Bombyx mori: one gene and its partner. The main gene of each other region encodes a partner of the protein of the gene in region 2 in a complex. Links are inferred from orthologs where the notes say so. Each region holds a gene or a part of one and is shown on either strand. Other genes may lie near its edges.

Region 1 (5,485 bases), on a different chromosome or scaffold from region 2:
ATTGCCTATCATTTATGTACAAAGCAGTTATTGTCGCTTAGTCACGTTTGCCTTTCAAGCGTCGATATGCTTACCGGCCCTTCTGTGAATTTTAACGGAAATTTTACACTTTGCATCATCTGTAGTCATGTCAATGACAAGATAATAAAGTACTCACGAAAGTGGTTCGATTTTAATGATTCTCAGGTCCTTGGCGGCTACGGCGAGGAGATGGAACGAGCGGCCGAGGTTCGGAGCGAAGGCGAGGTCGTTGACCGGCTCCTGGACGGATGACAGACAGTCCGTTCGCGTCCAACGACGAGACGTTTCACTGTATCTGAACACAAATTTAATTAATTTTTTTTGTTTAGCTTCATAAGAGTTTTTATTACGTACACAGCGGTACCATTGTGGCGGGTAGCCATCACAGAACACAAGATATTTGCTAGATGCCTGAATCTGGCTTACGACATTTTCAAGATAAGCCTGCATATTTATTTATTTTTTCCCACCTAATCTGATAGCCTTGAGAGGCTATATCAGCTTCGCCTTAACTAGTAGGTGAGCTCACGGGGCTGAAACCTGATGACGTTGCTAACACGAACCCTAGCAAGAGCCGTGCTTCGCAGAATCTACCACCGGATCGGAAACGCGACCCACTGAGAAGATCCGGCGAGAAACTCAGTGGGCTGTGTCTGAGGGTTAATTTACTCGTCGAGCCCTTCGTCGCAAGCGACGGGTTCGACGAGAACAATGACCGGTGCTTGAGGTACCTAAAAGCACCGTTAGTGGATCGGGAGGATCCGAAATGACGTGTTTGGGGCGACGTCGACTGCTTTCCATTCTGTCCGCAGGATCGGGAATGGAACTTGCATATATACAAGTTCTGAACATCAACATTCGGACTGTCTGTCACCCGCTCGGTTGAATATCTTCCTTTTGTCGTATACTCTCCAAACTATGACAAAAATCTTCCCTGGGCTATAGACAACTATAAAAATTTGCAAATCTATCAAGTAAATGAATGAAGCCAAATGTTTACATTCACTACAAATACAATACAAAAACTGATAGTTTTAAATCACTGCTAACAGTAGACATTGTCAATGGCAGGGGCACATCCAAGTCACTGTCTAGAATTATCATTATTTCAAGTAATAAGTATTTTAGATATTTACATATAAAAGTAAAAGTGTATATTTAATACATGGATTACAACATATAAATTAATACTTACTCATAAATAAAAACTTTTCCATTACAAGCTGTGCTCTTATCAGATGGTACTGATGCTAAGGCATTTGTTGTGTTAGGTTCATCGCTGCCTACTGCCAACATTGGTGGGTTTCCTACCCTAGAAAAAAAATGCAATATTGAAGATATTATAAAAAAGTCACTAATACAAGCCAACAGAACAGTTTTATTTTACACAGTAAAAACACAATTTGCTCCCAAAAACTCTCTCTTACTCTCACTTTCAACCTCTAAACTAAATTCCCTGCTGTTTTATGAGTATCTGGGGACTTAAAAGAGCTCTTTGTTGACTACACGTTATTATTGTTGTTGTTGTTGTTGACTGTTGTTGTTGACTACTTGTTGTCCATAAGTGACTATATCCAGTTACGATCAGATGGGCTATTTGCTACATCCAATTATAATAAAAATACATACCTACCTAGACAATGAAGGGTTCCATGATAAACAACTAATTGAAACTTTCGTCGGTATCTCGTGCTGGAGGGTCCATTGTGCCAAATTCATCACATCCGGAGCCTCATATATTCTGTAAATCAAACAGAATGTTGTTTTCGCTTCAAACAGATTAAAGTGAGAAGATGAAGAGCAGTATTGCTATACCAGTAACAACATAGCCTTATGTGGATTCTGAGGTCAACTATTTATCTAGAACGACACAGAATTAATTCAAATGAAAAATGGTAATTAGCTGAATTTAATTGTTGAAAATGTAGAAAACCAGGTAATGCTTACAGCTTAGATTACATTAGTAGCTGCCAATATTGTTACATAAATCATCACTCACATTTAGACCCAAATTCTTAACCATCTAGTAAAACAGCCTACAAATTAGAAAACGAGACTGTTTCATTGCAGAAATAGGCAGGGTGGTAGTAGCTATCAGTTTATGCTTGAAATAAGTAGTACCAGGAGGTTTTACTGATGTGTAGTGTTATGGATCAACATAATACCTTATAATGCCATCAGCTGAGCATGTAACTAGTAGTAGACCTAAATGTTTAGGTCCAAATTTAACATCTGTTACTGAAGTTCTTGAATCAACGAGGTTTGACCGCTTCAGCCATGTACGTAAACTCTTTTCAGAGCCTGTTGCTGTGGTGTCACCTGAATACAATATTGAATACATATTTATTTGAACCAATCATTTTGAACTATATACTCCTACTATTCTGCACTTGGCTTGTGTATATCTCTGCATGACTAGTGATGGTGCTAGTGATGACTAAATAGGCCATTCTTTGGTCACAGTTTTTCACACTTTATGTCTGTTAAAATTTATATTATTTTGCAACTTCCAAGCTAGGTTTCCTAGAATGTAATTTTTTTATTGCTTAGGTGGGTGGACGAGCTCACAGCCCACCTCATGTTAAGTGATATGGGATCTAAGATCTCAGTCTGTCTACCCAAACACAAAAAACTAATGAAAGCTTTCAGAAGTACATTGAATGTACCATGATGCAAAACTATGAAAAGCAGGCACCCTACACCTTACATTCTGCAAAAAATGGGTAAATTGTGGCTAAAACTTACAAGAATATACTATAATCTATATATATAAAAATGAATTGCTGTTCGTTCGTCTCGCTAAAACTCGAGAATGGTTGGACCGATTTGGCTAATTTTGGTATTGTATTATTTGTAGAGGTCCAGAGAAAGTTTAAAAGGTAGCTAAATATAAAAATGCTCAGAATTAAATAAAAATAACAATTTTGTTTTCCTTTAATATGTCCCCCGCCGGAAGGATTCCTTTTTTTGTTTTAGGTTTATTTTATACAAAAGTTTAGTTTATTTATTGATTGAGGCACTACGAAGTCTGCCAGGTCAGCTAATTATACATAAAATATATTATAAAACAACTCATCTAGAAAAAGTAATAAATTTAATGCTAAATGGTATGAACAAATGGTTCCACATACCCACTTCCTCCCAAATAGCAGCTGTTCTATCAAAGGAGCAAGTCGCAATGACCTGTCCAAACTCTGGGTGGGCCCATGTAACTTTCCAAACAGAGCCGTGATGAGCCTTCCAGCTCGCTGTCATCCGCCAGCCTCCATGCCCGTCTGTGTCCCATATCTAAGATAAAAAATAACATATTCCAAATTATTAACTTTCACGATTGCTTATTACTACGAAGCAACAAAGCTTTCGTGAATTACCAGAAGACTAAAAAAATTTCATTTTACCACGTTTTACAACTATACGTACGTAAAACAAAGGTACGTACTCTAATTAAAAATAATATAAAGAATGTACCTTTACGTATTGATCACTGGAACAAGTGGCCATTCTCTCCCCGTAGAAGTCGTACGCGACATCGTGAATAAGGTCTTTGTGATCGGCATGTATCGTTTGGGCCTCGAAAAGGTTCGTAGCTATGTTTTCACTCATTGTTATTATGAACTAACAGTGTTTTTTCCGTTACATTAATCCCAATTTATAACCTCAAATTAACAGAAAATGACATTAATGACAGTAATAATTCCATTTTTCAATATGAAAGGCGAAAGTATCACTTCATACAGACAATTTTTTTTTATATTCTGTTAAATGAAAAACAACGTAAAGGGAAAGATTATATGGATGAAATTAAATAAAATGAGGTGAGATGGGATGAAATAAAGTCACAGTAAAATGACAGTTATTTAAAGAGACTTTAGTGGACTTTTTGGAAGAGTCCGAAAAGCCATGTCAAGCGACTGTTTCATTTTCCCACATGCGCTTTTACGGATGCAAAACAGTAATTAAAGCACCATTACTACACGTTTAAGCCTTCGTCAAACAGAACGCGTACTTAGCGCGCGTCAGAGCGCTAAACTAACGCCGCGCTATGACGCCGAGATGTATTGTACTACTACGGTATTATACCGTCAAACAGAGCGCCAGCGCTATAGCGCTCATAGTATAGTAGTACAACACATCTCGGCGTCATAGCGTAGCGCTCTGACGCGCACTAATTACGCTTTCTGTTTGACGAAGCCTTTAAGCCTGAAGAAACACTAAATTAAATAAAAAACAATACACACAACTTCGGTCCTGGCGTTTCCGCCAAAAACTCGTTCATTTGTGTCTGTCTGTCCATCTTATTCTTTAGGTCACCACAATTGTTTTACAGGATATCGATAAAGGATTTAATCTCATCCCCAGCAATTAAGCGGTCCTTCCCGGAGTGGCACCCATGTAGATTAAATGGGAGAAACTTGTGGTAACTTGGGAAAACTTGTTAAAGAGCCTCAGTCCATGAATGAAAACAGCATAGATAATAATAATTTATAATATATAATTTATAAAAGGGAAGCAATTCAAGCAGTTCGTACCCCACACGACGGAAGACCAATGCTGTAAATAACAGTGGTCTTTCGTTAGACGTTAGTACCCGCCTTACCATGTTTTTCTCCCAACATCGATGTCGTATTTATTACCTACCATTCCTACACTAAGATCTATAGATGTGTGAAAAGGCTCATGATATACTTTGAAAAAAAAAACAATTAAAAATTATAGGCATTTAATAAAATTAGTAGTGTACTAGCTAATTTAATTACATAGATTAACAAGGAAGCTAATATTATTTATAAATATAACAAATTCATACACAAAAATACATCAATTATTAACATTATTGTCAAAATAAACACGAAAACAGAACAATTTAGATAGATGCAAAATTTGTATATGATTAACTAATTATGAGTGTGATAATTTTCATTAAACAGATCTCCAATAACTTGACCAATTTGTCAAATAGACAATTACGTATTTTTTTTTAATTTACTACACACTTTAAGTGTTCAATGATAATATTTAACATTTGTTAAATAAAAAGAGGAGTTGAAAATATGTTATGTTTATTATTTTTAAATTACTTACAAAGAATCCGTTCCTAAGGACCCTATACTATTAGGTATTGATGCCGGAATATTTATTACAAATTTACTTTATTTAATTTACATTACAAACACAACGAAAGAGACAAAAAATAATTTAAATATTGGAAATTTTTAAGTCCGTAATTTTACGAACGGTATTAAATTTGGCACAACTATTATTTATATGTGTATAAGTATATTAAAATTAACAAAATGTCTTTCAATTATTATTTTACAGTTTTAAAAATATTCTACCTAGGATTATGAAAAGTCAACAACATTTCATTAATTTTTTATAAAATATGGCAATTGAGATTGCAGCTCAGCTGATAATAAGTGGCAGGCATCGCTTAGAGACGCTACAGTGTAACGTCTGTTAATAG
Region 2 (4,763 bases):
ACAGATCATATAGGCCAACCCATAAAATTAATAGAAGACTGAATCGTGATGAGATTGGTTTGTTAAAATGAAAATGCCAATTATTTAAAAAAAAAGAAGATATATTCTGTTGTCACAATAGTATATCGTTGATGAATATGTTATAATTTACCGTTAACAATTTTATAAATGCAATTTAAAAAAAACCCATTATATTTGAGATAAGTTATAGCATTTTTTATGAAGCCAATCTCATCACGCAAAACACACAAAATGAAAATTGAATAAATTTTATACCGACCTGTCGTCAGAGCGGGGGTCCACTCCTGTTCGCCCGTAGCCCCCCACAGCAGCGCGAGCGACGCATTGTTGGTCGTGGAGGGAGTCCCCCCGGACACGCCGAGCACGGCTAACGTTCCTGACGCACTTATCATGCGTTTCCGCGACATAATGTTGCCTGTTACAAAAACGTTACAAACATTCCTAGATACCGTGGTATAGATTAGTTTACTGATATCTATCCATTAGGTTCGGTTTTTTTAACTATGCTGATAGCCATGAGAGACTATTTCAGCTTCTGTAACTAAACTGAGACCTTAGAACTTATGTATCAAGGTGGATGGCGCGTAACCACCAGGTGGGCTGTGAGTTCGTCCACCCATCTAAGCAATAAAAAAATAAGCTTCACTCTAGCGTTTAGGTGAGCTCTCAGGGCTCAAACCGGAAGTGTTGCAACACTGGCCCTAGCAAGAGCAGTCCTTCGCAGAATTTACCACCGGATCGGAAACGCGACCCACTGAGAAAATCCGGCGAGAAAGTTAGCGGGCTGTGTCTATGGGTTAATTTACTCGCCGAGCCCTTCATTGAAGGCGATTAGGTCGGACGCACATTGCGCACACTCACCGTCAACCTGATATATAGAATGGTTGTTGTTTAATATCGAGGAACCATTATCCTTTGGTGTGTTACTTTCGCAGCGATGCTCTTCGTTGCGGGCCGGCTCGCCAGCGGGACGGGCCTGGTAGTGATGTTGCTGTATCAATACGCCAGTTGGACCTGAGAATTTTAATTGCATTATATTTGGTCTGAGGATCACGTTCGGTTTTAGTTTAATTTTTTTTATTAATATATGGGGAAATGAGATTACGATCCATCTGGTGGTAAGTGCTTATCGGACCTCAAAGGCACAACATCAATATATTATTTTTACACACTGTGGTTCAAAATACATAATATAATTCACCAAAATACTAATAACAATTTCATTCAATTATGCCGGCACTTAATGTAGACTTCAAGATCACAATTCACTACTGTCGCTTCATTTCTGGTGTTCCGTTAGCTGTTAAACTTTATATCTATTCAACGCTTTTGCAATTTAGATGACATACCTAAAATTTTCCAGAAAATTTCCAGAAAGTAAAGACAGTACTTACTAGTAGTTTCGGTAATCGTTTTCGCTACTTCTAACAGATGGCGTTACTCGTATTGGCATAACATTTGACCTACCTCGTACTTTGACTCATACATACGCGTACGAGTTCACAAGACGCCCTCACACCGGTAAAAATGACTTTGACAGGTGTCAATAATTGAATTAGGGACTTCAACTAACCTTTCGGAAATATATGCGTCCACCTTCGACGGTTACTGGTCAGTTTGACAGTGACATGCGAGGGATCGAAGGGGTTGATGAGTGCCCTGCCCGTCCTGATAACGGGCTTGATTGAAGATATCGAACTGCGCGGCGAGAGTCGGTTCGTCGACATCGGCGAGTCCGTTGTGTCACTGCCCGCGTCGTAGCCTGCGGACTTGTCTGAAAACCAATCCACGGCGACCTATTAAATTAAATCACTTTAGCGATAAAAAAACTTTCGTTTTCAGGCACTATGGGATGTGCGATGAAAAGACTCCACGCAGTTTGCCGAACTCCGCCCAGCCCAGTTGGATGCTTCTCTTGACTTCCCTCTCCAAGCTGTGTTTACCCATCTGCAGCGTCTGCCCGAGGTATAAGTATTATATATATAACGTGGGACGCCCCCTGGCTAGGTGGTGCGATGACCTCCGAACGGTGGCCGGCAAGAAGTGGATGGAGAACCGTAGACGGGGCTCAGTGGTGTGGATTGGGAGAGGCCTATGTCCAGAAGTGGACGACTGTGGGCTGTTGATGATGATGATGATGATGATGAGCGATAAAAGAAAAAACCGTAACTAGCCATGTATACGATATTGATTAAAATTCAATTTCGACGATTAGTACCTTATTAGTCCATGATCAAAAAATGATGAAAACCAGTTTTTGAAAACTGGCAAAGTGTAAAATGAAAATAATCATCGCGACATTTAAATAATAAATAGTTTTTTTTAAATATATTAATTACTACTATACTAGCGAACCCAACAGACGGCCTGTACACACGTCTTATATCTGAAAATTACCAACTTTTTTAAATAAGCTTCGGTTTGAAAAAAAATTTACAAAAAGAAGTTATTACAATACTGAATTGAATCTGAATCTAAGCAATTCCCGAACCCACTTGAATACACACAAAAATCGTTCAAACGTTTGGGAACAGTCCACTAACATACACACACACACAAAAGAATTATATTTTATGTTTATATTTTATATTATGAGTTATTTTATGATATGATGTTTATATTTATGAAAATGTCATATTATTATGTATTTTGTACGTCCATGCAGGTTGTAAGATAATGATTGTACGTGTACCACTGCTCTTAATTATTCTGAAACTAAAATTACTGTATTCATAGTGACATGTGTTGCCACAAATGCTTGTCAGGTGTTTAACAGTTCACCAAATGGGTTTTATATATATGTAGGATTTAATTATTTAATTATTACTAACATTTCTAATTATTGTAAAACATTTCTGAACGAGTGAAAGATTCTGAACGCATGATGTGTGAAAGGGACGGATGTAGCTCTAGTTCGCTCTCTCGCACGACGCCGCCATTAGGAGTAAGACGTGTTCAAAGTGCTCTCTAAGAATTAAATAAAAAGTATTGTGAAACCCTAGAAAAGAGTATTTCATTTAGACCCACACCTACAATTTCTCGCCCGGGATACTCAGGAATATCAGGGTCTAAATGATTTAACGTATCTACGCATATTTTACGAAGTTGTCGCGTGGTGTGAACAACGCCGCGGCCGCCATACTTAACCTGCGCCGACGCCACGCCGCCGGTTACATTTTTCAAAGACGAAAGACGCATTTATACGACGATATACGACGATTCTGCACGATGGCGGAGAGCAAAAACGACGATAGCAAGAATTTATTTTACACGATGGACGCTGTGCCAAAGTTCACGGGTGATGACATCACGTACTCTTCTGCGAAGTGGACACAAGATCTCGACGATAATGCCGATATATTTGGGTGGAGCCAGCAGCAGAAACTCATTATAGCGCGACGATGTTTAGCTGGAACAGCAGAATTATGGCTAAAAAGCGAAAAAACTTTCAGAAGTTACGAAGAACTAAAAGTGGCTTTGATGAAGGAATTCCCTGAGGTGATAAACAGTAAACAAATGCATGAGACAATGAGCAGACGGAAAAAACAACCCAATGAGTCGTTTTATCAATATATGCTCGTAATGAAAGAACTCGGAAAAAGAGCTAAGTTTCCGGATTACGTCGCGATTCAGTATATAATCGACGGAATATCTGACTATGAATCTAACAAGTTGTTATTTTACGGGGTAACGTCGTATTCTGTGCTCAAGGAGAAATTAGTATTATATGAAAGTTTCAAAGAGAAGTCCAAAAAAAGTGTTGATACCATGAGACGAGGTCAGCGAGACACGGCGGTAATGCCTAGACAGGTTCATCGATGTTACAATTGTGGTGAAAGAGGGCACCTATCTAATTCCTGCCGCAGAGGTATCAAATGCTTCAAGTGCAACGGGTTCGGGCACAAGGGTACGGAGTGCCGCGCATCACAAGGTATGGAAGCTAAAAAAGCATCAAATAATTATTATGGAGGAGGTGATGAACAAGATCGGCGATCTATGTTTGTTCGACAGCAGGAGGACGACGAGAAGAACGAGAACGAACTATACGAACGTGAGCAATGCGATTTAAAAGAGCAAGTGAGTGATATGCCAAATTTTAGTTGTCAACAACTAAATCATATTGTTTCGTCAAATTTATTAAATGTAAACAAACGTGATTCTATAAACATGAGTGTAAAATCAGTAAAAGTTGGTAACTATGTGACTAATTGTTTAATTGACACAGGTAGCGACTTAAATTTAATAACTTTTGATTTGTTTACAAAACTAAAATGCGAGTACATACCAGAAAAAATGTTGCTTACTGGGTTAGGAAGCTCTAAGGTATATTCGATTGGTAAGTTCGACACAGATTTAACTATTGACAGTCACAGATATAGTATTAATTTGTATATTGTACCTACAGGTGGAATACCATATGATGTAATACTGGGTCAACAATTTTTAGTAAATACTATCACAGTTATTGACAAGGGTTTGGTTGAGGTCAGGCCTCCTTGTTATGACATATCGTATCAAAATGCTATCTGTCTATCTTCTAGTAGCAATGACCAGTGTACAGCGGTGAGGGAAATTATTGACAGTTACACACCTTTGAAGACTAAAGATGCACCTATCAGGCTGAAGATTGTGTTGAAGGATGATGTACCAGTTTCACAAAGACCAAGACGACTAGCCATCACTGAAGAACAGTTAGTTAAGCAGCATGTTGATGCATTGAGCAGAAACATACTTTTCACTGA

What was found. Proteins that work in one complex are often made in the same cells at the same time.
Region 1: GATOR complex protein Iml1 (region 2) and sec13-like protein share a complex: the UniProt entries of both Drosophila melanogaster proteins name them as parts of the GATOR complex. The link is inferred for Bombyx mori from reciprocal best matches to the Drosophila melanogaster genes Iml1 and Nup44A.

What each region holds. Positions count from the first base shown.
Region 1 is NC_085125.1:13,431,095-13,436,579, reverse strand, and holds the start of sec13-like protein, read right to left. Parts: upstream 3,672-5,485; 5' UTR 3,625-3,671; coding exon 3,490-3,624; intron 3,310-3,489; coding exon 3,153-3,309; intron 2,341-3,152; coding exon 2,187-2,340; intron 1,763-2,186; coding exon 1,655-1,762; intron 1,334-1,654; coding exon 1,217-1,333; intron 317-1,216; coding exon 158-316; intron 1-157. UniProt on the Drosophila melanogaster protein: Probable component of the nuclear pore complex (NPC). Involved in maintaining the localization of another nucleoporin Mgtor to the nuclear envelope of early meiotic female germline cells.
Region 2 is NC_085116.1:10,877,030-10,881,792, forward strand, and holds part of GATOR complex protein Iml1, read right to left. Parts: intron 1,796-4,763; coding exon 1,595-1,795; intron 1,036-1,594; coding exon 883-1,035; intron 437-882; coding exon 281-436; intron 1-280. UniProt on the Drosophila melanogaster protein: An essential component of the GATOR subcomplex GATOR1 which functions as an inhibitor of the amino acid-sensing branch of the TORC1 signaling pathway.